Coturnix japonica: one gene and its partners. The protein of the gene in region 4 purifies or fractionates together with the protein of the main gene of each other region. This does not show direct contact. Links are inferred from orthologs where the notes say so. Each region holds a gene or a part of one and is shown on either strand. Other genes may lie near its edges.

Region 1 (7,514 bases), on a different chromosome or scaffold from region 4:
AATCCTTCTTCACATATATGTTTTCCTACCAGAATTTTCCTACCAGAATGCAGTGTAAGATGGTAAAACTCTAATCCCATGTAAGATGACTTCTGTTTGCCAAGTGTACTACTGTCTTGTAGCAGTGCTGTGTGGTAGAGGGTTGTATATCATTTTTCTACTACAAGTCCTGTTCAGAATGTGCAAGACATTTTTTGAAAACAAAGCTTAAATTCTATTAGCCAAACATCTTTCAGTCATCAAAATATCCTCCAGGAATCACCAGGTGGTCTCTTGCAGCAAAACTGAATCTTTGTTTCAGGACTCCATTTCAATACTTCCACTTATTTCAGTTCCATATTTTCACCCTTAAAAGTGAACATTAGCTGGTAACTTTATTCATTGTAGTCAGATCAGAAGCTTGTTCATCTTCAGCACGTTTGTTATTATGGACAAGTCTGCTTAAGAACCAAGAACCCCTATGCAGACTTATGAGGGCAGAACTGTAGATTGATAATTTGTTGCCACTGTCCAATTAGCAGAAGGCTGTTTAATTAAAATAGTCCATTAAATTGTGTTCTAGTATACTGTGTTAGGAAGCATCCCTATCTTAATACTATCAGGATATCTTCACAGAAATGAAATGTGAAATACTTGTTGGAATCACCTACATAAAGATCTTGGCGTGGGCAGCTCTGCATTTACATTTGTTTGCTGAGTCTTTGCTACATTCAGAAAACCTTGCTGTTTCTTGAACTTGTCTTTCTCTGTCCATCAGTCCAATCAGAAATTTTTTTAATTGGAAAAAAAAAAAAAATGAAGAGGGAAGGATGAGGTTACTCACTGTATTAAAAGGATAGCCAGGAATAAATACCTCTAGAATCGCACTTCCTTGCTCTTCTGAAGTTTGTAATTGACATTGAAATAACAGAAGGAGCAGAATGTGCATGGGAACTGCATGATTTTTTTGGATTTTGGTGGCCCAGGATTAATGGATGAAGGCAGACTTCAGTTCATCACATTTGAAAGCTTCCATTATAGCTAATAGTAATCAGAAATGTTGGTCTTTACTCTTGAATATGTAACAGTATACTTTAAAAAATCACCTTTTTTTATAAGTCATTATAACTTTATTAGTGTTCAGTGTGAGTTTGTAGAAGGGAGAGTGTTCAGTCTTTGTTACAAAGAATTTGTGGGTAGTTTTGAGTTCTTTTACTTTTCTACATATTTGTAATACAAATGACACTATATAGAGAGAACATGATATAAGTAGAATTGAAATGAAATTATTTAGGTGAGCGAAGGTGACTTTGCGTGGAAGGGGGAGAGCTTGACTTCTTAAATTGATAGTGAGAACTATCTGTACATGTGCAAACATGCTGTTAGCACTGATATAGACTTCATTGTGACACTGTTAATTTGTGTGCTTTAAAACTGTATGCAAATACCTTGACATTGTAGTCCTATTCCTTAATCATTTATCCTGCCATTTTCTTTAACTGACTGTAAGAGCTATTGGACTTGGAGGTCACCCTGTACAATGCAGTGTTAGCAAAAAGTTAACTGTTTTCTGTTGAGTTTGTGAATACAGTTGACTTAGTTAAAGGGCTGTTGGAACTTGGCAGATTTGGAGTAGATCGGGTAAGAGAGAGGAGGAAATGTTTGATATCTTGTTAGCTTTTGGCTAGTGGTGGAAAGATTGATTCTGTTTTTCACAAAACCACAAACTGATTTACTTTGAAAAGAAACTTTTCCAGCAAAATCCACTTCAAAAAAGATGTACCTGAAGCCAAAGGATATACTTCTTCAGCTTTATGTTCCTTCTTTGTTTTTCATTTTTTACCTTTTCACCTGTCAGAAATACTGGTCTCTTTTTTGAATCAGTTGTAGAATCATAGAGTATTCTGAGTTGGAAGTGATCCATAAGGATCACTGAGTCCAACTCCTGGCTCCACAGAGGATCACCCAAAAATCAGACCATATCTCTGAGAACATTGTCCAGATGCTTCTTGAACACTGTCATGTAGCTGTCAGTCTCCTACTCGACTATGCAAACATGCATGCGTAAAAGTGTGCACATACATATTCTTGCTCTGTGCATTGTATGATTTTACCTGTTTTTGAAAAGTCCACCACCAGTGCCAGTTTGACCAAGCAGGTTCATTTAGTGAGTTGCAATCACTGTTGAACTTGAATCAGCTGGACTGTAAGCCACAGAGAGACTTAACCATGGATTCACATGCCCACAAATTGCTTCTGGGGAATTTCTTAAAACACATTTTTAATCTGTATATTTAATATTGTTTTCCAGTCTCTTGTTCTTCCTAAGCAACTTCATTACACGTATATGAGAGAAGGATTAATGTATTAATAGAATCAATAGTAAGTGGTATCAAAAATGTGATGTTCAGTGTTTGTAGACAGTATTGAGTATTAATGGTTTTTTGGGGTCTTTTTTATGCTTTTTTTCTTCTTTTTAGATTCAACAATTGGAGGTGCTGCTGCTTCAAATTATGCAAATTCCACTTGGGGTCCTGGAGCCTCCTCCAACAGCGGCACCAACGCCAACCCAACTCACATCTGGGACAAGGTGATTGTAGACGGGTCTGACATGGAAGAGTGGCCTTGTATTGCCAGCAAAGATGCTGAGTCTTCTTCCGAAAACACCACCGATAACAACAGTGCCTCGAACCCTGGCTTGGAGAAGAACACTCTGCCAGGAAGCACCACTAGTAACAAAGGAAAAGGAAGCCAGTGCCAGTCTGGAAGCGCTGGAAATGAATGTAATCTTGGGGCCTGGAAATCTGATCCCAAGGCTAAATCTGTTCAATCTTCCAACCCTGCTGCCGAGAGTAACAATGGACTAAGTAATTGGAGAAACTTGACTGGACAAGATAGAATTGGTTCTGGTTCTGGCTTCAGCAACTTTAACCCAAATAGCAACCCGTCTGCTTGGCCAGCTCTGGTCCAAGAAGGCAATTCTAGGAAAGGGACTTCGGAATCTGATAGTGGTAGCTCCAGTGCACAGATTAGCACAGTAGGTCAGACCTCTAGGGAACAGCAGTCAAAGATGGAAAATGCGGGTGTTAACTTTGTCTCTGGCAGAGAACAGGCTCAAATTCATAACACTGATGGACCAAAAAATGGAAACACTAACTCCTTGAACTTAAGTTCACCAAACCCTATGGAGAATAAGGGAATGCCCTTTGAAATGGGCTTGGGGAACCCTTCCAGGAGCACTGACACCCCTTCACAAAGCACTGGAGAAAGAAAGACTGGGAGTGTTGGATCTTGGGGTACAGCTAGGGGGTCTTCTGGAACTGACACAGTCTCTGGACAGAGCAATTCTGGAAACCATGGGAACAATGGAAAGGATAGGGAGGACTCCTGGAAAGGAGCTTCTGTTCAAAAACCTAATGGGTCAAGAAACGATTCTTGGGATAACAATAACCGGTCTACGGGTGGTGGGTCTTGGAACTTTGGCCCTCAGCATGCAAATGAAAGCAAATGGGGTGAAGGGAACAAATTGACATCTGGGGTCTCTCAGGGAGAATGGAAACAGCTGTCTGGGTCTGATGAACTGAAGATTGGAGAATGGAGTGGTCCAAACCAACCAAATTCTAGCACTGGAGCATGGGACAATCAAAAAGGCCACCCTCTTCCTGAAAACCAAGGCAATTCCCAGGCTCCCTGTTGGGGAAGATCTTCCAGCTCCGCAGGAAGTGAGGTTGGAGGTCAAAGCACTGGAAGCAACCACAAAGCAGGAAGTAGTGACAGTCACAATTCTGGACGCCGATCATACAGGCCTACACATCCTGATTGCCAGGCAGTCTTGCAGACTTTGCTGAGCAGGACTGATTTGGACCCCCGAGTGCTTTCAAACACTGGCTGGGGCCAAACTCAAATTAAGCAAGATACCGTATGGGATATTGAAGAGATGCCACGGCCCGAGGGGAAGTCTGATAAAGGAACTGAGGGGTGGGAGAGCTCTGCCACACAGACAAAGAACTCAGGGGGCTGGGGCGATGTACCCAGCCAAAGCAATCAAATCAAGTCTGGATGGGGTGAGCTCTCAACCCCAACAGAGTGGAAGGACCCCAAAAATACTGGAGGATGGAGTGACTATAAGAACCCCAATTCATCTAATTGGGGAGGGGGAAGACAAGAAGAGAAATCATCATCATCTTGGAATGACAGTTCTAGTAAGGATCAGGGGTGGGGTGGACGGCAGCCTAATCAAGGATGGTCTTCTGGAAAGAACGGTTGGGGAGAGGAAGTTGACCAAGCAAAAAACAGCAACTGGGAAAGTGCGGGAAATAAGCCAGCATCTGGTTGGGGTGAAGGTGGGCAAAATGAGATTGGAACTTGGGGTAACGGTGCAAATACAGGCTCTGCTTCAAAGGGTGGTTGGGATGATTGTAAAAGAAATTCAACGTGGAACGAGACGGGTCGACAGCCCAACTCCTGGAACAAGCAGCAGCAGCAGCAGCAGCAACAGCAGCAACAGCAGGAGACTTCTGGTTCCTGGGGTCCACCTCCACAAACTCCAAGTAATGGGCGACCTTCAAACCCAAACTGGAACAGCGGACCACAACCAGCTGCCCCCAAAGACGAGGAGCCTAGTGGCTGGGAAGAACCTTCTCCACAGTCAATCAGTCGAAAAATGGATATTGATGATGGCACTTCAGCATGGGGAGATCCTAGTAGTTATAACTACAAGAATGTGAACCTGTGGGACAAGAACTCACAAGGAGGACAGGCCTCACGGGAACAGAGCCTGCCTACTCCAATGACTAGCAAATCCCAAGCATCAGGTACTCATTTCTTTCTTCAGCAGATTTCTTTATACGATCGTAACCCTTACGCATAAGAGATACACTTGTAGCCTACAACTAATAGCATTATTTCATAATGAAAAAACATTTCTTGAATGTTTTGGTCCTGAGTTTAAGTGTCGTTAATTTGAATCAAACAGTCTTCTGCTTATTGTGTCTTAGTAACTTTGATCTGAACATTGGGCAGCTTGCCAGTTTAAAAAAAAAAAAACAAAAAAAAACTTATCTGAGAAGGGTTGAATTCTTAGAGAATTTGTGTTTAATTACGAAAGAAACAGGGAAAAAATCTCTTTGTTTCAAGTCAAAAACAGTTTCCTTCGAAACATAGTTAATAGCAGCTGACATTGAATGAGCATGTGCTTTAGTTTCTTAGCTCAATTTGGTTCTCCTGTGTGGTGAAGAATATTTAGCAAGGTATTTTCTTCTTTGAAATAATGATTAAAAAAATAATCAAGAAATCAACCCTGCGTGGCCTGGAAATAAATAAGGTATACTGTTATGCTCTTAGTTGTTCTTCAGTGTATGAAAACCCAAATGATCTGGTGCTTTCAGTTAAAAGAAGTTCACCAGAAGATAAAATAGGGTTAGGTTCATATTTAACCTGAGAGAAGAATATTATTCATTACTGTGTTCTTTCTTTTCCTACCTGAAGGTCAGAGCCCACCGTGAACTGTTATGTGAACAATTTTTTATTCTGTTTCACCCACAGTATTGAGAGCTCAGAGTCTTCAGCAGTAATGCAGTAGATAAATGACATGGTGCTGCACAGCAGTAAATAGTTTGTTGTCTAAATGGTCTGTAATGAAAACTCTTTCTCCTTTGTGCAGTCTGGAGCAAAAGCACTCCACCTGCTCCAGATAATGGTACGTCCGCCTGGGGTGAGCCAAATGAAACCAGTCCCGGGTGGGGTGAAGTAGATGATACAGGAGCATCGACAACAGGCTGGGGGAATGCACCTTCCAACGCCCCGAATGCCATGAAATCTAGTGAGTATAGGACAGATACTAGTTTATTTGCAGTGGTCCTGGAGACTTCTAGTGTTTGGCTTTTTGATATAGGTCACCCATGGAGGATTTGTTATCTGAGGCCTAGAAGCAATGCTGAATGTAATGTAAGATTTTGGTTGATGAGTGATTAAGTGCTTACCAATGACTGGATACTTACCTTTAAGGTAATGGAAATGTTCTTTACCTAACTGCTTGAAAGGGCAGTTTCAGTTTGTGCAAGTGTTGAAGCAATAGAACATCTGCTCAAGGAAATAATTCTTTTTCTCACATCATCTTCTCTCTGCACACCCATTACTTAAGGTACAAGCTCATTACATGGTAAATCACCTTTTCTGATCACATCAGGAGAGGGAATTCAGAGCTTATAGAAACATTTCACAATAGATGTGTGTGAAGTGCCTTTGAATGCACTTTTTTTGCTGCATGAATGTGAAAAACTCATAAATTGACCTTCCCCTTGTGGCCTAACCTAAATGGCTGAATACTTTCTAGTTATTGCCTGCATATAGCTACTCTTCTCCATGAATGAGATCCTGTTGAACCTTTAAAAAAAAAAAATCACTTTGAAGTTAGAATCCTGCTGTATTGAGTTTGCTTTGTGTGGAAGTTATTCCTGATGTAAATGGGTAGAATTTTTATTTCACTGTTCGTAAGGAAAGTGGAACAAACAAAGCAATCTCCTGCTGTTACAGCATAGCAGTGTTATAGCCAAAGACAGTGACTTTTGGTTATTAAGTTTCCATTAGGAAATACTGAAAATACTCACTGTTTCTGAACCTTGGTGGTTATACCGGTGGTAAGACTTTCCAGTTACAAGCTACTCTTACAGCATCTGATTGTCTGGGATGAAATGCACCATAGGGATTCTTTGCTGTTCTCCCATGTTCTCTTTCCCACACTTGAATTAAACAATTAGGCCATTCATGAAACAAAACTGGAAAATTCCAGTAACATATATTGAAACGTTTATTGGGTGGCTGTGGTGCTCCTTGTACCTGACAGACAGACTTGGCACTTTTCAGGATGCTGGACTTTTTTCTAGATGGCTCATCTTCCTTCCTTTGTAAAAAGCCATGTAAGTGTGTCCAAAATAAGAGACACTGAGGTGCTAATGATCCATTTTAAAAATCTGTGGACTTTTTAATATTTAAGATAGTCTTTAAAGAACACAATCACTTGCTTATCCTAGCTGGTCTGCACATGGTGACATAACCAAAGAGCTAAAGCATATGTGTTGTGCTTTGTGTAAACTATTTCCAGCTCAGCAAGAGCAAAATACAGGGAATTTTCCCTGTGCTGGCTGTTAAAAGTATGTCACCAGAGGTAAGAACCGGGACCTTCATTCTCCTGTGTACTGTGAATGCTATGTCAAGTCCTTTCTAATTGGCACCTAGACAGAGCAAAAGAGAAAACTGCATTATTCAGTGGACTAAGGGGAGATATTTCATATCTTGGGTAAGCTAGAAGAGGAAATTGGGGCAAAGCGCCTGCTAAGGTGTAATTTATGGTTGAAAGTAAAGAGAGGAAATAAAGACTTGCACCAGCTGGACAAGAAAATTACAGTTCAGAGCCAAAGAAGGAAGTGGGAGATGAGGTGTGACTAAAAAAAATCAACCAACCCCAAGAGAACTGAATGAGCAGAAAAGGTTGTGAAAGTAGATTTCCTGTATGTATTATGAGGAAGAGGTCGGAC
Region 2 (7,514 bases), on a different chromosome or scaffold from region 4:
CCAAGTAAAGCTGTTCTGTTTGGTGCTTCCATCTTTTGTCTGCCTTTAACACATGATGTGTGTGTCTCAGGAGTTCAGCTCGCTATCAAGGCACATCAAATTGAGGACAGCATCCAGATCTGGCCTCACCCCTGGGCAGGGAATGACAGGGCTGGACATGGCAGGTAACCCCTGTGAATCCAGGGTTGTTGTGCCAACTAACATGCATTGAAAAATTTAGGCAGGAGTAAGAAGAGAGGAATCTGTTTTTGTTTTGTTCGTTCGGCTTTAAATCAAATCTATACTGATTAATAAGATTCTCATTAAACATTTAACCGAGGCGGTGCCGTTTTGCACTTCCCTCTTACTTCGGTTTGTAAATCAGCTGAATGTTAAATTATAGTTGAGGGTGCGTAATTGTGCTGCGTATTGTTCAGCCTAATTACTGTGATGGAAGTTATGAAGATAGAGCTAAAAACAACAAGGAAACAATGAGGAATACGACTGCAAACAGTGTTTTCAGATCAAAGCCTTATCCTTTCTGCAGGCCGTGCACTTTGCTTTTAGAGAGATGCATGCAGCAGCTCCTCACCTTTCATTCTGCTCGTGCTTGACATTTGCAGCCCATGTAAGCATTAACCTGATTTTGCAGCTATTTGTTTATATTGCCATAAACAGAAACGTTTTCTGATGTGCGGTGTGCGAATCCAGCTGACTGCAGTGCTCAATAGCAGGGATCTCCTCCCTCCCCATTACAATACAAAAACAAAACCCAGTCACCCGCTGCTTACTGGTGGCACTGGTCAAAGCCATATGATTTTCTGCTAGCCAGCATGCCTGCAGTTTGAATTTGTATTGAGTTTTGGTTGGGGTTTTTTGCATATTTTATTGTAGCGGTGGTTTTTAATGAACTCAAAGTGCTGTTAATCTCAGCGTTATGTTGATGTTCTTTCCTGATTGGGCTGTATTTCCCAATAGACACGCAGTGAAGATTTCCATGCACAAAGTGTCGGTGCTAACAGCAGTTGGACATGGCGGTGCAGCAGCGGTGCTGACATGAGATGTGCATCTCATCTTCTATTGCTCTGCTCGGAATGGCAGCTCCCAGGAAGGCTGGTTGTGCTCCTGTTAGGCTGAGCGCTTTGCTTTGCTTCAGAGCTTTGCAGGACTAAAGAGAAATGGTTTTCCCATCCTGGTCTTAACAGCTTATAAAAGAAAGCCATGACATTCTTTGTGGAGACGTGGTTTCCTAGAGAGTCAGAGGGGATTTTTGTGTTCAAAGGAAACCCTGAACAAACAACAAGAAAATTACCCCAAGATTTTACTGTATAAAAATATTTTCCTTTCATTATTTCTCCTCTTGGTGTCAAATCCGTGTGGGTTAAGTGCAGGTTTGCTGCTCTTTGGGTTATTTGCTTTGTAGGAATGAAGTGCTTTTAGGTTAGAGAAAGTGGAAAAATGGCCTTTGGATGCTTGCTTCTGCAGACTGTGTATCAAAAGATCCTTTTTGGGGTTTGCTGTGTGTTGGGAGGGCTTTATCTTTGGTTTTGCAGCAAAGTAACAGCTCTCACAACCTGGAGGGGCTGGATTTAGATTTGACCGCTTTGTTTTTTGAGCACGTTCCTTGTGAGAGCTGCAAGTGTGAATCCCTGCTGAGTCCAGAGCAGGGAAGGAGCAGAGCAGCACAGGTATGTTGCTGCTAGTGGGAGCACTGTATGTTGTGCACTGGAATTAGCACAGTCCTTATCAAGGGAGCCTCTTTCAGATTAGTCAGTGCTTGTTGTTGTTGTTGAGGCCGTAATCTGAATCTTGGCAACCGTGCTGTTGGAAAGGGAGCAAATACTGATTTTCAAGCCCTCTGAAAGTGGGAGGTTTCTGAGCTGCTGCTTGGAGCCAAACACAGGGCTGTGTGATGCTGCCTGAGCAGTGTGCTCAGCCCAGCTACAGTACCTGATCATTCAAGGATGGTCAGCTCTTGCTCTGTATAATTCTTCATCTTTCTGCTGTGGTTTGTCTGATTCTTTGGCTGTTCTTCCAAATCCCACTGTCTCATGCAATGAACCATTTTGCTCCCTACTGAGGAATCTTTGCAAGTTGTTTCCCTGTTCTTCATGCCATCCGTGTGCACAGTGAGCCCCGTGCAGGCTGCTGTGCCTGCCCTGCACAGCGCTGCTCTGCTCCTCTGCTCACAGGTGGAGCTTCAGGTTCAGCTTTTGTGAGACCTTTGTATTGAAACTGTATTTCAAGCTGCTTTTAAATCTTCCTGACATGTCAGGAATGTACTGCTGAAGCTCACCACCCACTGTGCTGAAAAAAAAAATCACACACACGACTCCTCTTATCTGATTCCTTGGTTACCTCAACTTCTTATCTGCTGGCCTTGGCTGCTGCAGCTTTTTTCCTTTGTTTGTTTCTGCTCTGCTCCAAATGCTGCTTGGCTCGTATTTCTGACCCCGTCAACCCAGTTTGGGTCATTTTGCAGGCTTCCTTTCACTTTCCCTGCCTTATCTGGGATTTGGGCTCTGTTTAACACCTTCGTAGATTATCAGGTAAATTTTCAGCTCTGTAAGCGTTCGGTTTCGTGCAGGTATAACGTGATGTTTTCCTCCTTGCTGGCCATTGCATGTAGGGATGATAATCCGGGTTGGTCTAACCAGCTGCTTCTTATTCTCTTGTGAGTTTGTCCTGTAAATGTGCATTATTTGGGTCTTTCTGTGAAACACCAGGCTTGTCCTGGCATTGTGAGCAGACAGGCAATGAGCTGAGACTGTGTTCCCATCCTTTCTCCAGTTGATTTTGGGATGAGATGCAGTCTAACCTGAGGTTATTGTGTTCATTCTGTATCCCCATAACCTGCATGAGGCAACTTAATCACAGCTCTTGCCTGCAAAGCCACAGGTGAAACGTGTGAATAATGAGATTTTCTTCACGAGAGCTTTTTCTATTCTTGGAAGAATTTTTTCACAGTGTTGGAGTACCTTTAATTGGAGGCAGTTGGAGGAGCTAATCACACCAAAATATTTGTGATTCAAATCAATGTATATTAGTCATCCGCTGTTAAACAGCTTATTTGGGAGGTTTGTTGTGTACATCTTACCCTCAGAACAGTCTTGCACTTCTTATTCAAATTTGATGTAGACTAATTGGTGGTAAAAATCCAAGTCATGTTAGTGCAGATTTACGACAATAATTGGCATCCGAAACATGTAACGTATAGCTGCAGTTTTCTCCTCTTTTTAGATCAGCAGCTGAATTAAGGGTTGTGCAGGTGGCCTCCACCATGTATCCCTGGGTTTGGACTGAATTACTTACCATAAGATTCAGATTCCCATTAAAAGAAACAAAAAGGAGAAATCTCTACCAAAGATCTCTTATTGGAGCGATTGGAATGGAAAGTAAAAGCAAAAACTCAACCGGAGTCCTTAGTGTGAAAATGGTTGTGTCTTTCAGTATAATTTTGCCCCATAGCAATTAGAGGTTCAAGAGCTTCTTTAGAAACTGCTTGATCAGTGTCTTTGTTTGAGGGTAGGTGTGTAGTATATGTTCTGTGTCCTGAAGACCGCCTTCTGGATATCTGTGCAATATAGCATTACTTTCACTGGGTAGAGGGTGGACTTTGGACATACTTTGGATGATGTGTGCAGCTAAAAAGCACATTGAAATCCCTTATAAATCCTTTAAGAGCTAATTTTCTTGAACAGACTGTTACTCTGAAACGCCTGTGTGTTCTCTGCTATAACCTAAAGGTTACAGCAGCACTGTTTGAACGCATAATTGATGCTGTACAGCAAAAGATGGGTGTCAGCATGTGAATGGAGCGTGTGGATGGTGGTGTGGCTGCAATGTGTGTAACGGCAGGAGGACGTTGCATGTTTTATCACTGGGTGCTCTTTGAGAACTGAGTCAAATAATTCATTTTTTTAACACATGTGCTTTTTGGATTTCTCATGGAGGTTGGTGTATTTGCTAACATCTACTTATGGAGTGCATTATTGTTTTAATAAGCCTTGCCACTGCACGTAAAACGTTTTTGTGCCTTTGTTCTAGAATGGAATTATTCCATTTGAATTGAGAGTTTTGTCAGATTAAAGAAACAAAACAGCAACAGCACAAAAGATCGGGTTTGGTAGTTTGTTGTACTGAAGAAAATTGCTGTATCGTGTTGGAAAACATGCTTTGAATTTTAGGATGCTTTGCACTTCAGTGCAGAGCACAGCGTTACAGCTAGCAGGGTAAAGCAGTACTTACTTAACTGTGGTTTTGTGGTGCTTGAACCGTGCACTCATTTTCAACCTTTTTGGATCCTTTCAGATCTCAGTCACAGTGGATTGGGAGACCATTATGAAAATTCCCACTGGGGACAGCAGCCCACTTTCAGGAGTGAAGGCAACTGCAGCTGGGATAAAGTGATAATAGACAGGACTGACAAGGAAGCGTGGCCTTCCATCACAGGAGCTGAGACTGAATCTGCCTCAGAATGTACTACAGACACTGACTCTGCCTCCAACTGTGGCTCAGAGAACAGTAGCATGGCTACAGGGAGTGCCCAAGGCAACTTCACTGGACATACAAAGAAAACTAATGGCAATAATGGCGCCAACGGAGCACTCGTCCAAAGCACTTCTAACCAGAGTGCCCTTGGATCTGGTGGAGCCAACGGTAACGGCAACTCGGCCAGAGTGTGGGGCATGGCTGCAGGCTCTGGCTCTGGCCTAGCTCACTGCTCTGCCAGCGGTGGGGATGGCAAGATGGACAACATGATTGGAGACGGTAGAAGTCAAAACTGCTGGGGTGCTTCCAACTCAAATGCTGGCATTAATCTTAACCTTAACCCTAATGCCAATCCAGCTGCCTGGCCTGTACTTGGACATGAGGGAACTGTGGGAGCAGGCAACCCTTCCAGTATTTGCAGTCCGGTCAGTGCCATAGGTCAGAACATGGGCAACCAGAATGGGAACCCGACAGGCACCTTAGGTGCTTGGGGAAACTTGCTGCCGCAAGAGAGCACAGAACCACAAACGTCCACTTCTCAGAATGTGTCTTTCAGCGTACAACCTCAGAACCTTAACACTGATGGACCAAATAACACTAACCCCATGAACTCTTCACCAAACCCTATCAATGCAATGCAGACAAATGGACTGCCGAACTGGGGGATGGCTGTTGGTATGGGGGCCATCATCCCGCCCCACCTGCAAGGCCTTCCTGGTGCTAATGGAACATCAGTTTCTCAAGTCAGTGGGGGCAGTGGTGAAGGAATGGGCAGTTCGGTTTGGGGGATGTCCCCAGGTAATCCTGCCACAGGAAACAGCAATTCTGGGTTCAGTCAGGGGAATGGAGACACTGTGAACTCAGCATTAAGTGCTAAACAAAATGGATCCAGCAGTGCTGTGCAAAAGGAAGGCAACGGAGCGAGTGCGTGGGATTCGGGGCCTCCGTCTGGTCCTGGGGTACTGGCGTGGGGCAGGGGAGGTGGCAACAGCGGTGTTGGTAGTATGCATTCTGGAGCTTGGGGCCACCCCAACCGTAACACCAGTAACGGTGTCAACGGTGAATGGGTCAAACCCCCAAACCAGCATTCCAATAGCGACATCAATGGGAAAGGATCAGCGGGGTGGGATAGCTCCAGTGTTACCAGTCCGAATCCTGCCATGCAGCAGGGCAACGAACAAATAAACTCTTGGGCCAAAGCTGCAGCATCTGGCACCACAGCTAGCGAAGGAAGCAATGACAGCGGTGGCAGTCAGAATGAAGGCAGTACGGGGAGGGAGGGGGCTGCAGAAGGCAGGAGGAGAGACAAAGGGATGATAGACCAAGGGCAAGTTCAGTTGCCAAGAAATGACCTTGACCCCAGGGTCCTGTCCAATACAGGGTGGGGACAGACCCCTGTAAAGCAAAACACTGCCTGGGAATTTGAAGAGTCCCCGAGGTCTGAACGAAAGAATGACAATGGAACGGAGGCCTGGGGTTGTGCAGCTACTCAATCTTCAAACTCAGGGGGGAAGAACGATGGGTCCATCATGAACAGTACAAATACCTCTTCAGTATCTGGGTGGGTCAGCTCTCCACCTGCAGCTGTTCCAACAAATACAGGTTGGGGAGACAATAACAACAAAGCACCAAATGGCCCAGGGGGGTGGGGAGAGTCAGCAAGCTCTACTACTGTTAATAATGCTGCTGCTGCCAAAAGCGGCCACACTTGGAGTGGGACCGCAAATCAGGAGGACAAATCACCTACCTGGGGTGAACCTCAGAAACCCAAATCTCAAAACTGGGGAGACGGACAGAAATCAAATCCAAGCTGGACTTCAGGAGGTGGAGATTGGACAGATTCATCATCTGTTCCCGGACACTTGGGTGATGGGAAGAAGAATGGATCTGGATGGGATTCTGACAATAGGTCGGGGTCTGGATGGAATGATTCCACGAGGTCTGGGACCAGTGGATGGGGAAACGGCACAAACAGCAAGGCTAATACAGGTACAAGTTGGGGGGAATCTTTAAAGCCAGGCCCCCAACAAAACTGGGCTAATAAACCCCAGGACAACAGTGTGAGTAACTGGGGAGGAGCTGCTTCTGTAAAACAGACGGGGTCGGGGTGGGTTGGTGGGCCAGTGCCAGCCAAACAAAAAGAGAACTGTGAGGCAACTGGCTGGGAAGAGCCATCTCCACCGTCCATTCGCCGCAAGATGGAGATTGATGATGGTACCTCAGCTTGGGGCGACCCAAATTACAACAACAACAAGACTGTAAATATGTGGGATAGAAATAATCCTATCATTCAGAGCAGTACCACAACCAATACCACCACCACGAGCACCATTATCAACACAAACATGGTTGAACCTCAGCCATCGCACCAGTCAAGTGCCCAGCCGAACCGGTCCCCGCTGCTTGGTCCAGGTATGACAGTACTTTTGTAAGCTCCATTGTACCAATGCCGGTAGTACTTGGCATGTTGGTCCATATAAAGGTCTTTCACCATTAGTTAGCACCTTCTGCCCTCGCAGAGCTGGATGTCTTTTTGCTAACCTCTCTTCTGTTATTTGTCTGCTGTTACTATTACTCAGTCTTTATTCCTGTTTAGACACTGAGCGTCTGTTTCTTCTCTACAAACCCTATCTCTTGGCAGCAGATGTTTTCTTGGCTGTTGCATGAATCCAGACTAGTGCTGTTTCTTCTGTTTGCTGTCGTTTGTGAAGAAATGGTTCTCTTCCATCCTTCGGGTCTCAAGCATGGATTGTATCCTGGGCTTTTATGAGGGTCTCATAAAGTTGGATTGGTTAAAGATGTTAATATTCAGGGTGGCTGAAAAAAGCCATTCCACTTCAGTTCTGTTCCAGATACGAGGCTTTAAGCATTATTTGGCTGGGAAGAGCATGAGGTTTTTTTCTAATGATAGAGAAGATGCTGTTGTAGATGAACAGCAAGGAATATCAACGGGAGGTGGGGGAGGTACAGAGAAAAAGATTGTTTAGAGGAGAGGTATTTAAATAGATGTCACTGGAAGCCCTGCTCTGTGTCTCAACCACAGA
Region 3 (7,514 bases), on a different chromosome or scaffold from region 4:
ACTTAATTTCATAGCAAATACTTCATGATATGTGTACTTAACCATGAAATATTTGTAAGTCTATTGAGATGTATCTCTTCCCGACTCCTGGACATAATCGTCCTATTAATTAAAAAAGAAATGGTAGTTCTTACATCACTGACAATGAGAAGTAGTAGTTCAATTGCTGCACTATATGTGTGTTCCTACAGCAGCAGAACTTTAGATCGGCATTGTGACTTTTGTGTCGGGTTGTTGTTGTATAAAAGAATTAATTTGTACCTGAGAAAACACGCATAATATTTTTTAATGGTGTGTGTTTCTGCAGCTATTGTCACACAGCATTTGCTATTGCTAGGTCAGTGTAATATCCAGTTTAGATTACTGCCTTTCAGAATCTTTGAATTAAAACACATTTTTCATAAAGAATTTTCTATCTATTGGTACAGAGTATTAGAAGAAAACAAAAGCAGCACTATTTGGGGGAAAAAAAAAGAACAGTTTAGTCGTGCTTTTTGTGAGAATTCTGCTTCGTGCATTTGATGAGAATTGTTCTAGGTTATGCATAGGGTGATGTTCTGAGCAGGTGTGCTGTAAAGTTTTCTCTGTAGTTTTCAGTGAGTGGTGTTAAAACAAGCAAAATAATTCTTGACTTGGTGTCTTTGTACATTGTTTTTCTTCTGTTTAATGCAGTAATAATACTGTGTTTATAATAATGGTCTTGGACTTTCCTTCTTCTCTTTAGATCTGAACCACAGTGGTCTAGGATCCCATTATGAAAATTCTCACTGGGGACCAGTCTCTTCAAATAGTGACTCCAGCACAAACTGGGATAAAGTTATTGTAGACGGCTCTGACAAAGAAGCATGGCCATCAATCACTGGCAGTGACCCAGAGTTGACATCAGAATGTATGGACACTGACTCTGCCTCTAGCTCTGGGTCAGAGAGAAACCTCATTATAATGGCTTCAGGGAGCACAGGTGGTGAAAGTGATGGCATTCGAAATGGCATCGGACATGGTTCTCAAAATAAGTTTGTGGTTGGTAGCAACAGCAATAATGTGGGCAATGGAAGTATTAATGGGCCATGGGGTTTATCCCATGGGACCATAATAAGCACATGTCAAGTTTCTGTGGATGCTCCTGACAGCAAATCTGAAAGTAGCAACAATAGAATGAATGCTTGGGGCACCATAAACTCTTCATCAAATGGAGGGTTAAATCCAAGCACTTTGAATTCAAATGGCAACCATGGTGCCTGGCCTGTATTGGAGAACAATGGACATGCCCTGAAAGGGTCTGTAGGGAGTGGTAATTCTGGCACAAATATTCAGTGCAGTACCATAGGTCAGATATCTAACAGTCAGAGTATTAGCTCTAAAGTGGGTGGTTCAGCCCATGGTTCCTGGGGAAGCCTTCAGGAAAATTGTGATTCTGAAGTAAATGGTACAAGGAAGGTTTCATTCAGTGGGCAACCTCAAAACCTTAACACTGAAATGAATGGACCAAATAACACTACTAACTTTATGACCTCTAGTTTACCAAACTCTGCTGGTTCAGCGCAGATTAACGAACTGCCTAATAATACAGGGCACGGGGCCTGGCGTGTGAGCACAATGAATCATTCTCAGATTCAGGCCTCTCCAGTTACAAATGGCACTTCCATTTCTCACCTTAGCAATGGTGAGGCGAAAAATGGTGGATCTTATGGTACTACATGGGGTGCCTATGGTTCTAATTACTCTGGAGACAAATGTTCAGGCCCAAACAGCCAAGCTAATGGTGACACTGTGAATGCAACTCTAATGCAGTCAGGCATTAGTGGGCCTGGCAGCACTAACTTTCAAATCAACGGGAATAAAGGAGGAGGGGTGTGGGAAGCAGGGGCAGTCAGCTCCCAGAATATGCCATGGGGAAGTGGAAATGGCGCAAGTGCTGGCGGAAGTAGAAGAGGATGGGGCAACCCTGCACAAAACACTGGCACTAATATTTCAAATGGTGAATGGAGTAAACTGCCTAGTAATCAGCATTCCAATGAAAGTGTAAATGGAAATACCAGGAAGTTTACAAATGGATGGAAATCTACTGAAGAGGATGAGCTTAACAGCCAGAGTTCTGCTGTGTCTCAGATAACTGAGCAGAATAGCGCGTGGGCCAAAACAGGTACAGGGGACGGTGAAGGTAGTACAGAGAGCACTGGATGCCATGAAGATAGAGTAGCTACAGAAGGACAGAATCGAGAGAGAAGAAAAGTTGACCAGCATGCATTACTCCAAAGCATAGTAAATAGAACTGACTTAGATCCACGTGTCCTTTCCAATTCTGGCTGGGGACAGACTCCGATCAAACAGAACACTGCCTGGGATACCGAAACATCACCAAGAGGTGAAAGAAAAACTGACAATGGGACAGAGGCCTGGGGAGGCTCTGTGACACAGACTTCTAGCTCAGGGGGATGTGTGGATAGACCTAGCCCTAATAATAATGATACCTCATCTGTATCAGGGTGGGGAGATCCAAAGTCTGCTACAAGGTGGGGAGACTCCAAAGGGTCAAATAGCCAAGGGGGGTGGGAAGAGGATTCTGCTGCTACAGTAATGGTCAAGAGCAATCAATCATGGGGAAGTGGCAAAGAAGACAAGTCATCTTGGAATGACACACAGAAGATGAAACAGGGATGGGTAGAAGGACAAAAGGCCAGCCAGGGTTGGGCTGTTTCTGCCAGCGACAGCTGGGGTGAAAATTCAAGAAGTAACCATTGGGGTGAGACAAAGAAATCCAGTTCAGGAGGTAGCGACAGTGACAGATCAGTATCTGGTTGGAACGAGCCAGGTAAATCAAATTCTGTTACTTGGGGAGGTAGTAATAATACAAACCCAAATAATTCTTCAGGATGGGATGAGCCTGCAAAGTCTAATCAGAACCAGAGCTGGGGAGACCCTCCTAAATCCAGTCAGCCTCAAGGTTGGGGGGATTCATCAAAGCCAATCAACTCTCCAGAATGGAACAAACAAGATGTTGGATCTTGGGGAGCACCGTCTGCCGCCAATAAACCGCCAGGCTCAGGCTGGCTGGGGGGACCGATTCCAGCCCCAGCGAAGGAGGAGGAACCCACTGGCTGGGAGGAGCCATCCCCTGAATCAATACGCCGCAAAATGGAAATTGATGATGGAACTTCTGCTTGGGGTGATCCAAGCAAATACAACTACAAAAATGTGAATATGTGGAATAAAAATGTCCCAAACAGTAGCAGCAGTTCAGACCAGCAAGCACAGGTACATCAGCAGCTACTGTCTTCAAGTGCCATGTCTAGCAAGGAGAGCAGTTCGGGTTCTGGTAAGACTTGACTTTACACAAGCTTGTGCTTTTGTTTAGTTGTAAAACGTTTCTCTTCTACTTGTTTCATGTAACATATTTTAGATTCAATGTGGAGAGGCGGAGGTGGCAACAGAAGTACCTTTTTATTATCAGTATTATAATTAAAGGAGAATGCAGGTAGATGCTTTGATATTTTTATACAAATTGGAAGATCTGTTCTCATTTTAAATAGTTTCAGTAACGTAGACTAGACAGCTCTGTTGAAATCCTGGGGTGTGGGAACAAAGGGTGAGTGCTAAATGCATATAAATATATAGATAGATATATCTAGGGAATAGTGTTTTTCTTCATTTGATTCTAAAAGCTACAACTTAATGTTGCCAAATAATCAAAAAAACAAAACAAAAAAAAAACAAAGAAAACACCCAAATACCAAACCGAGTTGGGCTGCTACCAGGCAGAGTGAAACATGATTATTTTATATGCACCAAAGATCAGAATTTGCAGGCTTGTAGTTTTGGGAGCAGTAAATAGTTGTGGATGTGTCTTTGCAGTACATGCAAAGTGCTTTGTGCTGTCTTTTTGCAGCTGCAAAGAGGAGTAGCTTAAACACAAGGAGCAGCCCTTAGGAACTTAGTATTTTAGAGATGTCTGTTCTCAGTGTAATTCTTTATATATGAAATTTGTATTTTTGCTTCTTTTTAATGGAACAGTTTACAGTTTTAATAATGACCTTCATGCAAAATGCAAATGTTTACTAATAAGCTCTTTACTGTATGCTATGGCTTTGAAAAGGCAAAGCACTTGATTCTTTAAAGTGGCTTTTAAAATCCTGTTTTAAAAAAAACATGTCAGTAACTCATACTGCTTTAAAAAGGTTGGGGAGAGCCTTCTACTCCAGCCACTACTGTAGATAATGGAACTTCAGCGTGGGGTAAGCCCATGGATACTGGTACTAGCTGGGGAGAACCCATCAGCGATGCAGGAGGCACCTCTGGCTGGGGAAACGCTTCTCTTGGTCAACAGGCTCCAAATAAACCCGGTGAGTGCTTTTGCACTGTCTTTGAGTAACAATACTGAAGGTGAAATGCTTATCTTTTTTGGAGGCTTTAATTTGAAATAAGCTCATTTCTGTCTGTGTTAAGGGCAGCCAATGCAAACTGATGGTTTTTTTTGTACTGGAGTAGCTACTCATTGGTGTGTGTTTTCCTTTACTACCATGCCATTACTGATCTGACACTGGGCATGATTAAAGAAACTACTTCAGGTTTTAGTAGCTGATTTGAGTGGAGATTTTTGTGGTTTTAAGTGTTGACGTGTTGGGGTTTTGTTTTGGTTTGTTTTTACAACCAGGGCCTAAATCTATGCAAGATAGTTGGTGTGGAGACGATATGCCATTGACAGGCAGTCGTCAGACCAGCTGGGAGGAAGAAGAGGATGTAGAGATTGGAATGTGGAACAGCAGTTCTTCACAAGAAGCTAACACGTCTTTGAACTGGCCACCCTATATGAAGAAAATGCCCACAAAGGTAATTGTGACTTGTGAGATGTCAAGTCCACACACAGGTGCAAGTTGGCAATGGAAAGAAAGAAAAACTTATGAGGCTCCTGAGAATTATTTCTTCTCACTGTGTAAAATGGTTTCCTCAGGAGGTTGTGTCAGGGTTTTTGCACTGTTGTCATTCCTGAAAACTAAGAACGGGTTGCTGTGCTGAATGGAGTACCATAGAGCTTTCATCTTCATAATGTTTTACGGTTTAATTTAAGCAGTGGGTGGTAAATATCTTCTGAGTATCATGGGAATTCCTTTCTGTTTTTCAGGGAATAATGAAAGGTGGAAATAAGCAAGATGAAGCATGGATCAATCCATTCATTAAGCAATTCACAAATCTCAGTTTTTCAGTAAGTATTACACCTTTCCTGTCAGCATTGCCTTTTTAGAGTGTTAGTTGTAATGCACAAAGATGAAAATACTTGATTGTCTGAAGCCCATTTTCATCGTATTTTCCTTTTTACTTCTATTTATCTCCTCTGTCGCTCATCCCTTTTTTTCTTTGTACATTCTCAGTATAAAAAGACTTACTTACGAAGAAAGGCATTGTTGTAAACACTACCAGTTATTCATCCAGTAGTCTGCTGCTCTAGTTAGTTACGTGTGGATGTTGGTAAATACACCTGTTTTCAGTGGGGATATCAAAGGGACAAAATGCTTTAAGATAGAGCCCAATTATCTTGATGTTTTTTTTCCTGCAGGTCTGAATTGTTATAATATATATGAATCTCTTTGTTTTAGCTTCTAAAAAGATTATTATTAAATAATTGATTCATTTTATTACTTCAGAGAGAATCACCAGAAGAAACCATACAGAGCAATAAGATGGACTTGTCTGGAGGTAAGAAGAAAACATAATTAGATTTTACAGCTTTCCAATCTGTTAGCTTAAATATATCAGTTTGCATAAGTATATATTGTGATTTCTTTTATTTATTTGTGTATTTGCATGTATATATAATATTTCCTTAAATAATACTCTTGTAGAGCAGGAAAAAAAAAGACTTGTGCATATAACACTGCGTACCTGATTGCTGCAGTATTGTTAATCCAGAAGTCAAACTAATCTTATACATACAGAGCTGGCATGAAAGTGTGCTTATGTGGTGTGGGGTTTTGGTTTTTTGTTTTCTTAATACAAGTATCCAGACTGCTTTGTGGACAGCTTCCCTAAATAGGCACAGATGTTCTGAATACCACACTTGCTTCTTGTGGTTAATTCTTAGAAACACATTTTCAGTTCGAAGAAGTAAATTAATACCGAACAGTTACTTCAGATACATTTATACTTGAATGCAAAAATCACTTTTGAGCAGCCTTTGAGCTCATTTGCCATTGTGATTCCTCTAGCAAATGAAAAATAGGATAATTAAATTTAATCAATGGCCAGCAGTATATGATAGTAGGACATGTGATGAAAAATAATTGTGGCACTGTGTTTATTGTAGCTGCACTTCTTAATTTTAGTTGCAAATTGCTTTTTTCACTTTTGGCTCATGATCTGTATTGCATGAGTTCTTTGCATTTCAGATATTAAAAAAAATAATAGAAAGCCTCATGCTTAAATGATCTCAGTTCTTGAATTTGAATTCGAAATATCTGCTTGGAAACAATTCTCTTGCAGTGCATGCAGTGGAGTATTAATGGAGTATTATGCAATGAAGTACGCTGCTTTACTACTGCTTGTATTTTGATCTCCAAGCTTGCTTAGTAGCATTAACAATGAAAGTGAGATGTTACAATGAGCTTTCAGTAAATACCAGTATTTAAAATGTTCCCATCTGTTTGGTTGTCATTCCCTCCACAATAACTGAATCAAATTAAAGACCCTCTGAAATCTTATGCAGATGAAGGGCATGTAATAAAGATACTGCTTCAGATCCAAGACAGCACTTGTTGTGACTCTTCAAAGAAAAAACAAAAAGCTGACATTAATGTCTGTCTTAAACAATTATACTTGCCTTGTTTTTGCAGGCTGAGAATATTTTTGGGGAAGTGTGCAAACTGTTGATGCTTTTCTGATTCCCAATTTGAAGCTGTCTGTAGCCACTATTCATAGTGTTTCCTTTCCTTTGAAGCGAAACCCAGGAAGTTTAAAATGGAACTGATGTTTTCTTTTTCTAGTGCCAAGCCTGAAAGCTGTATTCTGTATTTCATGAGCATAAATCCATTCTGACTGTATCTGGAAAACGATGTGATCCTTCAATGTCGTAGTCACATCTCTCTCACTTTCTCTTAGGGTTATTGCAAGATAAGAGAATGGAGATTGATAAGCATGGCCTCGGTGTTGGAGATTACAATCGTGTGGTTGGAAAAGGCCCTGGTTCTCGTCCTCAGATTTCCAAAGAGTCTTCCATGGATCGCAGTCCTTATTTTGATAAGGTTAGTAGCTGTCTTATTGGTGGACATTCAGAACTTCTTTGATTCAGCATTCTAAGTAATTGTCTGTGCACTCCTTAGCTTTCTGCATTTGGTGGAGAAGAAACTTAGTGCTTTCTTGTTAATCCATAAGATATGTTTTGTTCTTTTTAACTTACTGATATATAATACTAAGCACTTTCTGTAGCCCATTTGCAGTGCAAATAACTAACCTGATCTCTTTTGTTTTCTGCCTATTTCCTGCTGATGCTGGACTCTCATGTGACTCTTCCCTTCTGTTCCTGG
Region 4 (7,514 bases):
TGTGTGTTCATTCACTGATCAGCATCCGGAGGTGTTGGCTGGAGTGTGTCATGCAGGGCTGGCAGCCTGCTGGAGTGACACATGTCTGAAGAATGTTCTGTTGCCTTAACACAGGGACGTGGTGGTTTTGGTGCAGGAGATCTGGGAGCTCAGTGAAGTGCTTGTCAGCTGTCTCATGTTGCTGCTATTTAAGGTTTCAAACGTATGGATTATATTTATTGTGCTGAGCTGCAGTTTGTGCCACATTTCTTACTACAAGTTGTCACTTGCTTATATCTTTTCTAAGCAGACTGTTCTTACTTCCATGGGACAGGTCAACTGTTTTGTTTAAAGACACTATTGTCATTTAATGTGACTTGGTCACTGGTGTGCAGGGTAGTAAGAGATGCTGGTAGACCAAAGGTTGAGCTAATTACTATGCTAATATATTTGTATGTATTTAAAATAGTATTTATGTGGCTAAAATGCTGTTTCGGTCATTGGGTGTATGGTATCATTGACAAAATCGTACTGCATCCTGAATAGTCTCAGCTTTACACATTAGAAAGTCTTCAGCAGGGATATGGATGCTGGCTGTGCTTGTAGCTCAATACAGAGTCTCTTCAGGACATTACAGCTCTCTAGAAATTACTGTTATCTGGGGAAAAACCTTTCCCAAACCTAGAAATGCAAAGCAGCTGGAAGATGACGATGCTGGAGACTGATGTGTCACTGTGGTTGTTGGAAGGCTCGTTAATCTGTTTTAAGAACTGAGTGCTGTGCAGCATTTCCTTGAGGGTTACTTGGAATCTGAGAAAAGCCTTAATTTATCTACTGCTTCAGGGCGTTCTGACTTGGGTTTTCTTGGTATTTTGTTCTATTTAGTTTCTGCCACTGCCTTCTACAAAGCACAACCTGTGATTCAGTTTATGTGTGAAGTTCTTGACATTCATAATATTGATGAACAACCGAGACCTCTGACTGATTCTCATCGGGTAAAATTCACCAAAGAGATAAAGGGTGAGTAGAAATGTCTCTGTCCTTTCCCTTAGGGTCATTCTAGGGACTCAGTTTAACTGGAAACTCCCCTGGTTATCGTGCATCAGAAGAGACCTGCACCTGTCAGGAGAAGTGCAGTACATCACAAATGGGAGATGATCCTATGGCTTAAAGAGGGAAGCATTCATCACCTGGTTGGCAGTGGGCAGCTTTGCCTTGCTGGCTTGTAACCTTTGAGAAGCAGGGGTCACTGAGGTTGTAGTGGTATTGTGCTGTAGGTCTCCCGCTGTTTAAATGCTGAGGCAAAATGAACATTGATTTTTTTGAAGCGAACTTAATTGATTCTTTGAAAGGATGCTATTTGCAGTGACTTCTAATAACTGTTTGCTGTATGGAAAAACAAGTACCACTTAATAACTTGCAGCTGAAGGCCAAATTCCATTCCAAAGGAATTGCATAAGCTACTGTTTAGTGTAGTTTCACTCCATATATGCTCCTTTGCTTTGCATTTTCCCGTATCATTTCATTCCAGTGTGATTTGCAGAGAGAGGAGCCTTGAAAGAGTTCAGCTGTTCAGAGCTCTGCTCTGGGACACTTGTGTTACTTGATGAAAGCTCGGACTCTGCTGAAATACTGGCCAGCAGGGAAATAAATCTCAGCTATATTTGCAAAGCAATATATTCATGGAATAGTCATTAGCTGGAGAGGGGAAATGTACCTTTTAGGACACACATAGTAGTCCAAACATGCCTCCTTTTTACATCTGTCTTTATTCATTCCGGGAGGCCCATAACTGGAGAATGAGCTGCTGTTTCTTCTTAATCTTGGACAGCTGAATCACTTTGTTACCACGGTCAGAGAATATGAAGAGGTTACCTTCACTGTCAGTATTTGCTATTATTGATGTACTATCTGGGAGCTGCAGCCAAGATACAATCATGTATAGTGAAACAGAGCCTGCCTTAACAGAATTTGCAGCCTGCGTGAGCAGCTCAGTGGGAGGATGGTTCTTTCTGTAGTGTCACAGCAGATTGATGACAGAGCAATTAATGGGTTCCAGATGCACACTCACAATCCTTTTCTACTTGACCTGTCTTGATGGGGATATTCATTGCATGGCCACAATCCACACAAACCTGGACAGGACACACCACCCAGCTTCCTCAATAACCTCTTCCAGTGGGCTGTAGGTTGAGTAATTTGTGTGGCAGTGCTGTTTCCAACCACCTTTTCTGCTGAGAACCTGCTGAGCTGCTGGTGTTGGCATTGACTGTACACAGAGAGCAATGTTGGGTTGGAACACACTCTTTCGTATGGAACTTTTTGTCTCCTGTGGTAGTTGTTGCATGGTTGTAACATCAGGCTTTTTGGTACTTCTGTGCAGGTCTGAAGGTAGAAGTGACTCATTGTGGAACGATGAGACGGAAATACCGTGTTTGTAATGTAACCAGGAGGCCTGCAAGTCATCAAACGTAAGATGCTTCTTTGTCAGGATGTAAGAAGTGCAGTAGCTTAGCACTGAATACCTAATGGGATCTAATTGTATTCGTTCTGGGAGTGCTAATAATTGCCAGCTAAGCTTGTAATAATTTTGATTGATGAAAGCCTGTGTCTCTCCAGCTTTCCTTTACAGTTAGAAAATGGCCAGACTGTGGAGAGAACAGTAGCACAGTACTTCAGAGAGAAATACAACCTCCAGCTGAAGTATCCTCATCTGCCTTGCCTGCAAGTGGGGCAGGAACAGAAACACACCTACCTGCCTTTAGAAGTAAGGATTTTACTCTAATAAATCAGCTCATTATTGGTAGGCAGTATTGTTTTGCAGAACATGAGGTAATGCACTTTGCAGTGCAGGTGTTTGCATATTTACATGTTCTTTATATGCTTTGTTTTTTTTTCACCAAAAACTACATTTTTTAAGTGCTTGAAAGATTAGAACTAAGTGTAAGTGTGCAATTGCTGAAATACTTTGGAGGTTTGTGGAGTTCCCCAAGTATGATACATAATGATCTGGTTCTGAATGCTCTGTATTAATGCTTCTGGTTTTTCTTCAAGGTATGTAACATTGTGGCTGGCCAACGGTGTATCAAGAAGCTAACAGACAATCAGACATCAACTATGATAAAGGCCACAGCGAGGTCTGCTCCAGATAGGCAAGAGGAAATAAGCAGATTGGTGAGTTCTTCAGTTTCAGTTTGGCTTGATGCTGTTCAGCAATTGATTTTCTGAACAGTAATTAAAGGACTTAATTTGAGGTGCTCTTATTTCCTAAGGAAAATGCTTTTGGATCTATTCAGTGAGCAAACAAAATGATGAGCACGTTACAATTGAGCACCTTGAGTAACTAAGGGAACAAAAAGTCTCGTCCAGTCTATCTCGTGGCATTTGAGCAACAAGCAGCTGAATCTAAGCCTTTTTCAATGAGAAGAGGGATTGTAGAACATTTCTGCTGCGTTCCTATTAGACTTTTCTTTATGGAGTTATAATTTTTTATGTGAATTTTGAATGTAACGTGGAAAAAACCTCTTCTAGGTGAGAAGTGCAAATTATGATGCGGATCCATTTGTTCAAGAGTTCCAATTCAAAGTCCGGGATGAGATGGCCCATGTAACAGGGCGTGTGCTGCCCGCACCGATGCTGCAGTATGGAGGACGGGTGAGGTCTTCACCTTTGTGGTTTTGCTTCTATTATGATGATTGAAGCATGATTTCCTACCTGTGTTGTGAGCGCTCCAGTTGCCTTGTGCAGTACAGGGATCAGTGTTTAAATGGCAGGCTTTGTTTTCTCTTATCCTGAAGCAGTAAACAGCACAAGCCTCTTTGCTTTCACTCACATGGATGTTTCTATGTTTCTTCTTCCTGCAGAACAGAACAGTGGCAACCCCAAGCCACGGAGTTTGGGACATGAGAGGGAAGCAATTCCACACTGGTGTTGAGATCAAAATGTGGGCTATAGCTTGTTTTGCAACGCAGAGACAATGCAGAGAAGAAATACTGAAGTAAGGCATGTCGTAGTTCAGGCTTTGGACTGCTTTTGTAATGAAACCATTCACTGAAAACATGGATGTAAGAATTCTTAATGATTAAAGCTAGCAAAACAATCACCTTGGGTGTTAAGGGTAGAATCCAAGCAGCTTCCTTTCTGGAAGCTACAATCAAAACACTGTTTGAGTCTTGCGATATTGCTGCTCTGTGTTTAGTTTTGTCTAGCATCATGAATGGAGTACTGAAAGGCCCCAGATTTGCTGTTTTCCATTCTGACCTCTGTGGTTTCAAATCTGTGTGGCCTCCATGCGGGTGCTTTAAAAACACTACTTTGAAAGCTATGTGGAATCTTTTTCTCTGTATGAGTAACAAAGTTCTTCTACCTGTTTTTGCTCTGGTTGTTGTTTGCTATTGCCAATGCAAAAATCCAGTGAACTCCTTATCTATAGGGGTTTTACAGACCAGCTGCGTAAGATCTCCAAGGACGCAGGGATGCCGATCCAAGGCCAGCCCTGCTTCTGTAAATACGCCCAGGGTGCAGACAGTGTGGAGCCCATGTTTCGGCACCTCAAGAACACCTATTCAGGGCTTCAGCTCATCATTGTCATCCTGCCAGGAAAAACACCAGTGTACGGTAAGGGAATACCTTGGAGTTTACCTGTTTGGTGAAGTATCATTCAAACATATGCATGACATGTTAGAAAACTGCTCTGGAGCATTCATTAGATATAAGAAGCCAGTGCTGTCTGAAGCTGAAATCAGAAGCAAGTCTGAGTGTTCAACTCAATAGAAAGTTGTTTTACAGAGTATTCAACTGTTGTGATGGAAGCTAAGATCAAAACATGGCAATAGTTTCAAATGGGCTCAGTTTGTATCCTAATTTTTGTTTCCCAGCGGAGGTGAAGCGTGTGGGAGACACGCTGTTGGGAATGGCCACGCAGTGTGTGCAAGTCAAAAACGTCATTAAAACATCTCCACAGACCCTTTCAAACCTGTGCCTGAAGATCAACGTTAAATTAGGAGGAATCAATAACATCCTTGTACCTCATCAACGGTAAGAATCTGCATGGGGATGTATTTGGGTTTTCTTTGATACTTAGCACCCAACATTTAACTGTAGTCAAAGCTTGTGTTGAATTATCCTTCTGGTAGTATGTGGTATGAGCTGGAATTACATCTCTTCTTGTGTGGGCCTTGAATAGTTGTTGGTCTATGAGCTGAGTCTCAGGTGTTTTTCCATGCTTGATCAATATCAAAAGCTTGAACAGCTGCAGTTCTGGAGGTGCTGAAAGATTGGTACCATTAGGAGTTTTCTGCAGGTTTAGGAGTCTGCCATGCATCACAGAACAGTCTAAGCTTTGGTTACTGTGCCAATGTGCAGTCAGTAAGGGCAGAAATATACTGAAAGCCCCCTACTTCTCTCACACTGTTAGGCTGAGCAATTCAGCTCACGCTCATTCTTTGCATGGGGAACCTCTGTGCATGTGTTCCAGTTGCTTAGAAGCCCTCAGTGGGGTTTGAATCTAAGCCATGTGTGCTCCCTCTTTCTTACGTGCTTTGTTCTGAAGAAGCACAAATCAGTCTATCAGTCCTGAAGACAAGAAGTTCTGGTGGTCCCTAACAGTTATTAGGAGCTTTTATTATTATTATGAGTTCTTTAAGAGTGGACAGACACATCACACAAGCCAGACAAAAACTTCTGGAGTGCAAGTTGTAGGAATTCTATCCTGAGGATTCCTGAAAGAATTCCATATAGTGGAATCAAATGGTAGAGTAATGGTTTCTGTAAGAGACTGCCTGTATTGTTAAGGTGCAGCTCTTTGGCTTTTCTCCACTAGAATCATGCCTGCAGTTCAGTGGCTGTGTTTCGCAATGACCGTTAGCGTTGTGGAAGTTTACTTCTTGCACACAAAGGTCTCATTGTTTAGCTCTGGCCGAAGTACCTGATAAGAAAGTCTCTCTGTGCAACATAGCTGAAATAGAGACAAAGCCCCATATTGAGCACCAACTGTTCATCTGCAAGTGTGACTTAGCACTTTTTTTTTTCCTTTTCAAGACCTTCTGTGTTCCAGCAGCCAGTGATCTTTCTGGGAGCTGATGTCACTCACCCTCCTGCTGGAGATGGAAAAAAACCTTCCATAGCTGCTGTAAGTTTTAGTACATCAACACTGTTGTTTCATTTTGGGTTGATGTTAGAACAGCAAATGCAACTTGTGTTTGTCAGATCTCTTTCAGGGCTTATGCCAATTCTTGCTATCCATTCCCAGTGTTGCTAAGAATTGTCTTTAAAAGAAAAATACTGCTTGATAATTTCTCATAGCATTTTGCTTTTTAAATCGAGGCAGTTATGTTAAATAGAATGTTTTTGCAGACGTCATATAAAGTAAAGCTGCTTTATGATGTTAGAGCGTCTTGTATAGGCTTGAACTTGTTGCTTTTAGTCATGCAATGTTCTCCTGAAGGTTGTAGGTAGTATGGATGCTCATCCCAGTCGATACTGTGCCACCGTGAGAGTTCAACGGCCCCGCCAAGAGATCATCCAAGATTTGGCTGCCATGGTGAGGGAGCTTCTCATCCAGTTCTACAAGTCAACACGCTTCAAGCCCACGCGTATCATCTTCTATAGGGATGGGGTCTCTGAAGGACAGTTCCGACAGGTTGGTTCATTTGTGAACTGTCTGAAGCTCTGAATTCCTGCCCTCCTGTTGGAATAAGCTGTACTGCTTCTATTTGTGCTAAGATACCACAAAAGAATTGAGCCTTTTTAGGAGAGTTAAGCGTGTTAGGTAAGAGAAGTTGCTCTTTCCTTGTTGTCTAGGAAGAACAGCTCTTACTCTTGGGAAACAGTCTATTTCTCATTACTTCCTGAAGCTGATAACAGTGTAGAACAGCTGAACTTAGTGTTAACTGCAGACTGTTAATTAGGTGTTGTGTGTAGAATATAATGTGAGGAAAACTTTTTCTGTTCTTGTGCTTGTAGGTTTTGTACTATGAACTGCTAGCCATTAGAGAAGCCTGCATCAGTTTGGAGAAGGATTACCAGCCTGGAATAACCTATATTGTGGTGCAGAAACGACATCATACACGGTTGTTCTGTGCTGACAGAACAGAAAGGGTAACTGTTGTCCTGCTCAAGCTTGGTGTCAGTACTGCTAGATAGAATATTAGCATGAACTTCACTGCCAGTCTGATTCTGTTTGCATTTGGGGAATGTGTTGAATTGATTAGCACAAGATGTGGCACCAAATTGAAAAATCAATGACCTTAAATACAGTAGAAAAAACCAAAACACATCAGGCTTTGTCACAGTGTCCGTGTGCACTGCATATGTGCAGCTCTTCTGGCTTTCTGAGATCCAGAGTTCTCAGGTTCTGGATGCAGTATTCTGCACTGCAATGGTAAAAAGCCATGCAGTGTCCACGTTGGACATCCTAGTTTGTTGTGTTGTCACATTGCAAACAAAGCTAAGACAGTTCCTTCACTGAAGTGCTGTGTGCATTGAATAGGAATTTGTGTTGTTAGCTGCAGTGTTTTTAACGTAACTTTTGTTTA

Evidence for each region.
Region 1: the proteins of AGO3 (region 4) and TNRC6B purify together in Homo sapiens (affinity purification with mass spectrometry; 6 studies listed by BioGRID and IntAct, with this or other methods). This does not show direct contact. The link is inferred for Coturnix japonica from reciprocal best matches to the Homo sapiens genes AGO3 and TNRC6B.
Region 2: the proteins of AGO3 (region 4) and TNRC6C purify together in Homo sapiens (affinity purification with mass spectrometry; 3 studies listed by BioGRID and IntAct, with this or other methods). This does not show direct contact. The link is inferred for Coturnix japonica from reciprocal best matches to the Homo sapiens genes AGO3 and TNRC6C.
Region 3: the proteins of AGO3 (region 4) and TNRC6A purify together in Homo sapiens (affinity purification with mass spectrometry; 7 studies listed by BioGRID and IntAct, with this or other methods). This does not show direct contact. The link is inferred for Coturnix japonica from reciprocal best matches to the Homo sapiens genes AGO3 and TNRC6A.

Annotation. Positions count from the first base shown.
Region 1 is NC_029516.1:45,733,790-45,741,303, reverse strand, and holds part of TNRC6B (trinucleotide repeat-containing gene 6B protein), read left to right. Parts: intron 1-2,459; coding exon 2,460-4,793; intron 4,794-5,641; coding exon 5,642-5,800; intron 5,801-7,514.
Region 2 is NC_029533.1:3,486,056-3,493,569, forward strand, and holds part of TNRC6C (trinucleotide repeat-containing gene 6C protein), read left to right. Parts: intron 1-4,290; coding exon 4,291-6,882; intron 6,883-7,514. UniProt on the Homo sapiens protein: Plays a role in RNA-mediated gene silencing by micro-RNAs (miRNAs). Required for miRNA-dependent translational repression of complementary mRNAs by argonaute family proteins.
Region 3 is NC_029529.1:6,768,702-6,776,215, forward strand, and holds part of TNRC6A (trinucleotide repeat-containing gene 6A protein), read left to right. Parts: intron 1-724; coding exon 725-3,316; intron 3,317-4,175; coding exon 4,176-4,340; intron 4,341-4,651; coding exon 4,652-4,827; intron 4,828-5,119; coding exon 5,120-5,200; intron 5,201-5,639; coding exon 5,640-5,691; intron 5,692-7,089; coding exon 7,090-7,232; intron 7,233-7,514.
Region 4 is NC_029538.1:3,700,231-3,707,744, reverse strand, and holds part of AGO3 (protein argonaute-3), read left to right. Parts: intron 1-864; coding exon 865-999; intron 1,000-2,362; coding exon 2,363-2,450; intron 2,451-2,598; coding exon 2,599-2,746; intron 2,747-3,033; coding exon 3,034-3,153; intron 3,154-3,510; coding exon 3,511-3,633; intron 3,634-3,842; coding exon 3,843-3,976; intron 3,977-4,411; coding exon 4,412-4,596; intron 4,597-4,856; coding exon 4,857-5,016; intron 5,017-6,018; coding exon 6,019-6,109; intron 6,110-6,424; coding exon 6,425-6,619; intron 6,620-6,942; coding exon 6,943-7,104; intron 7,105-7,514.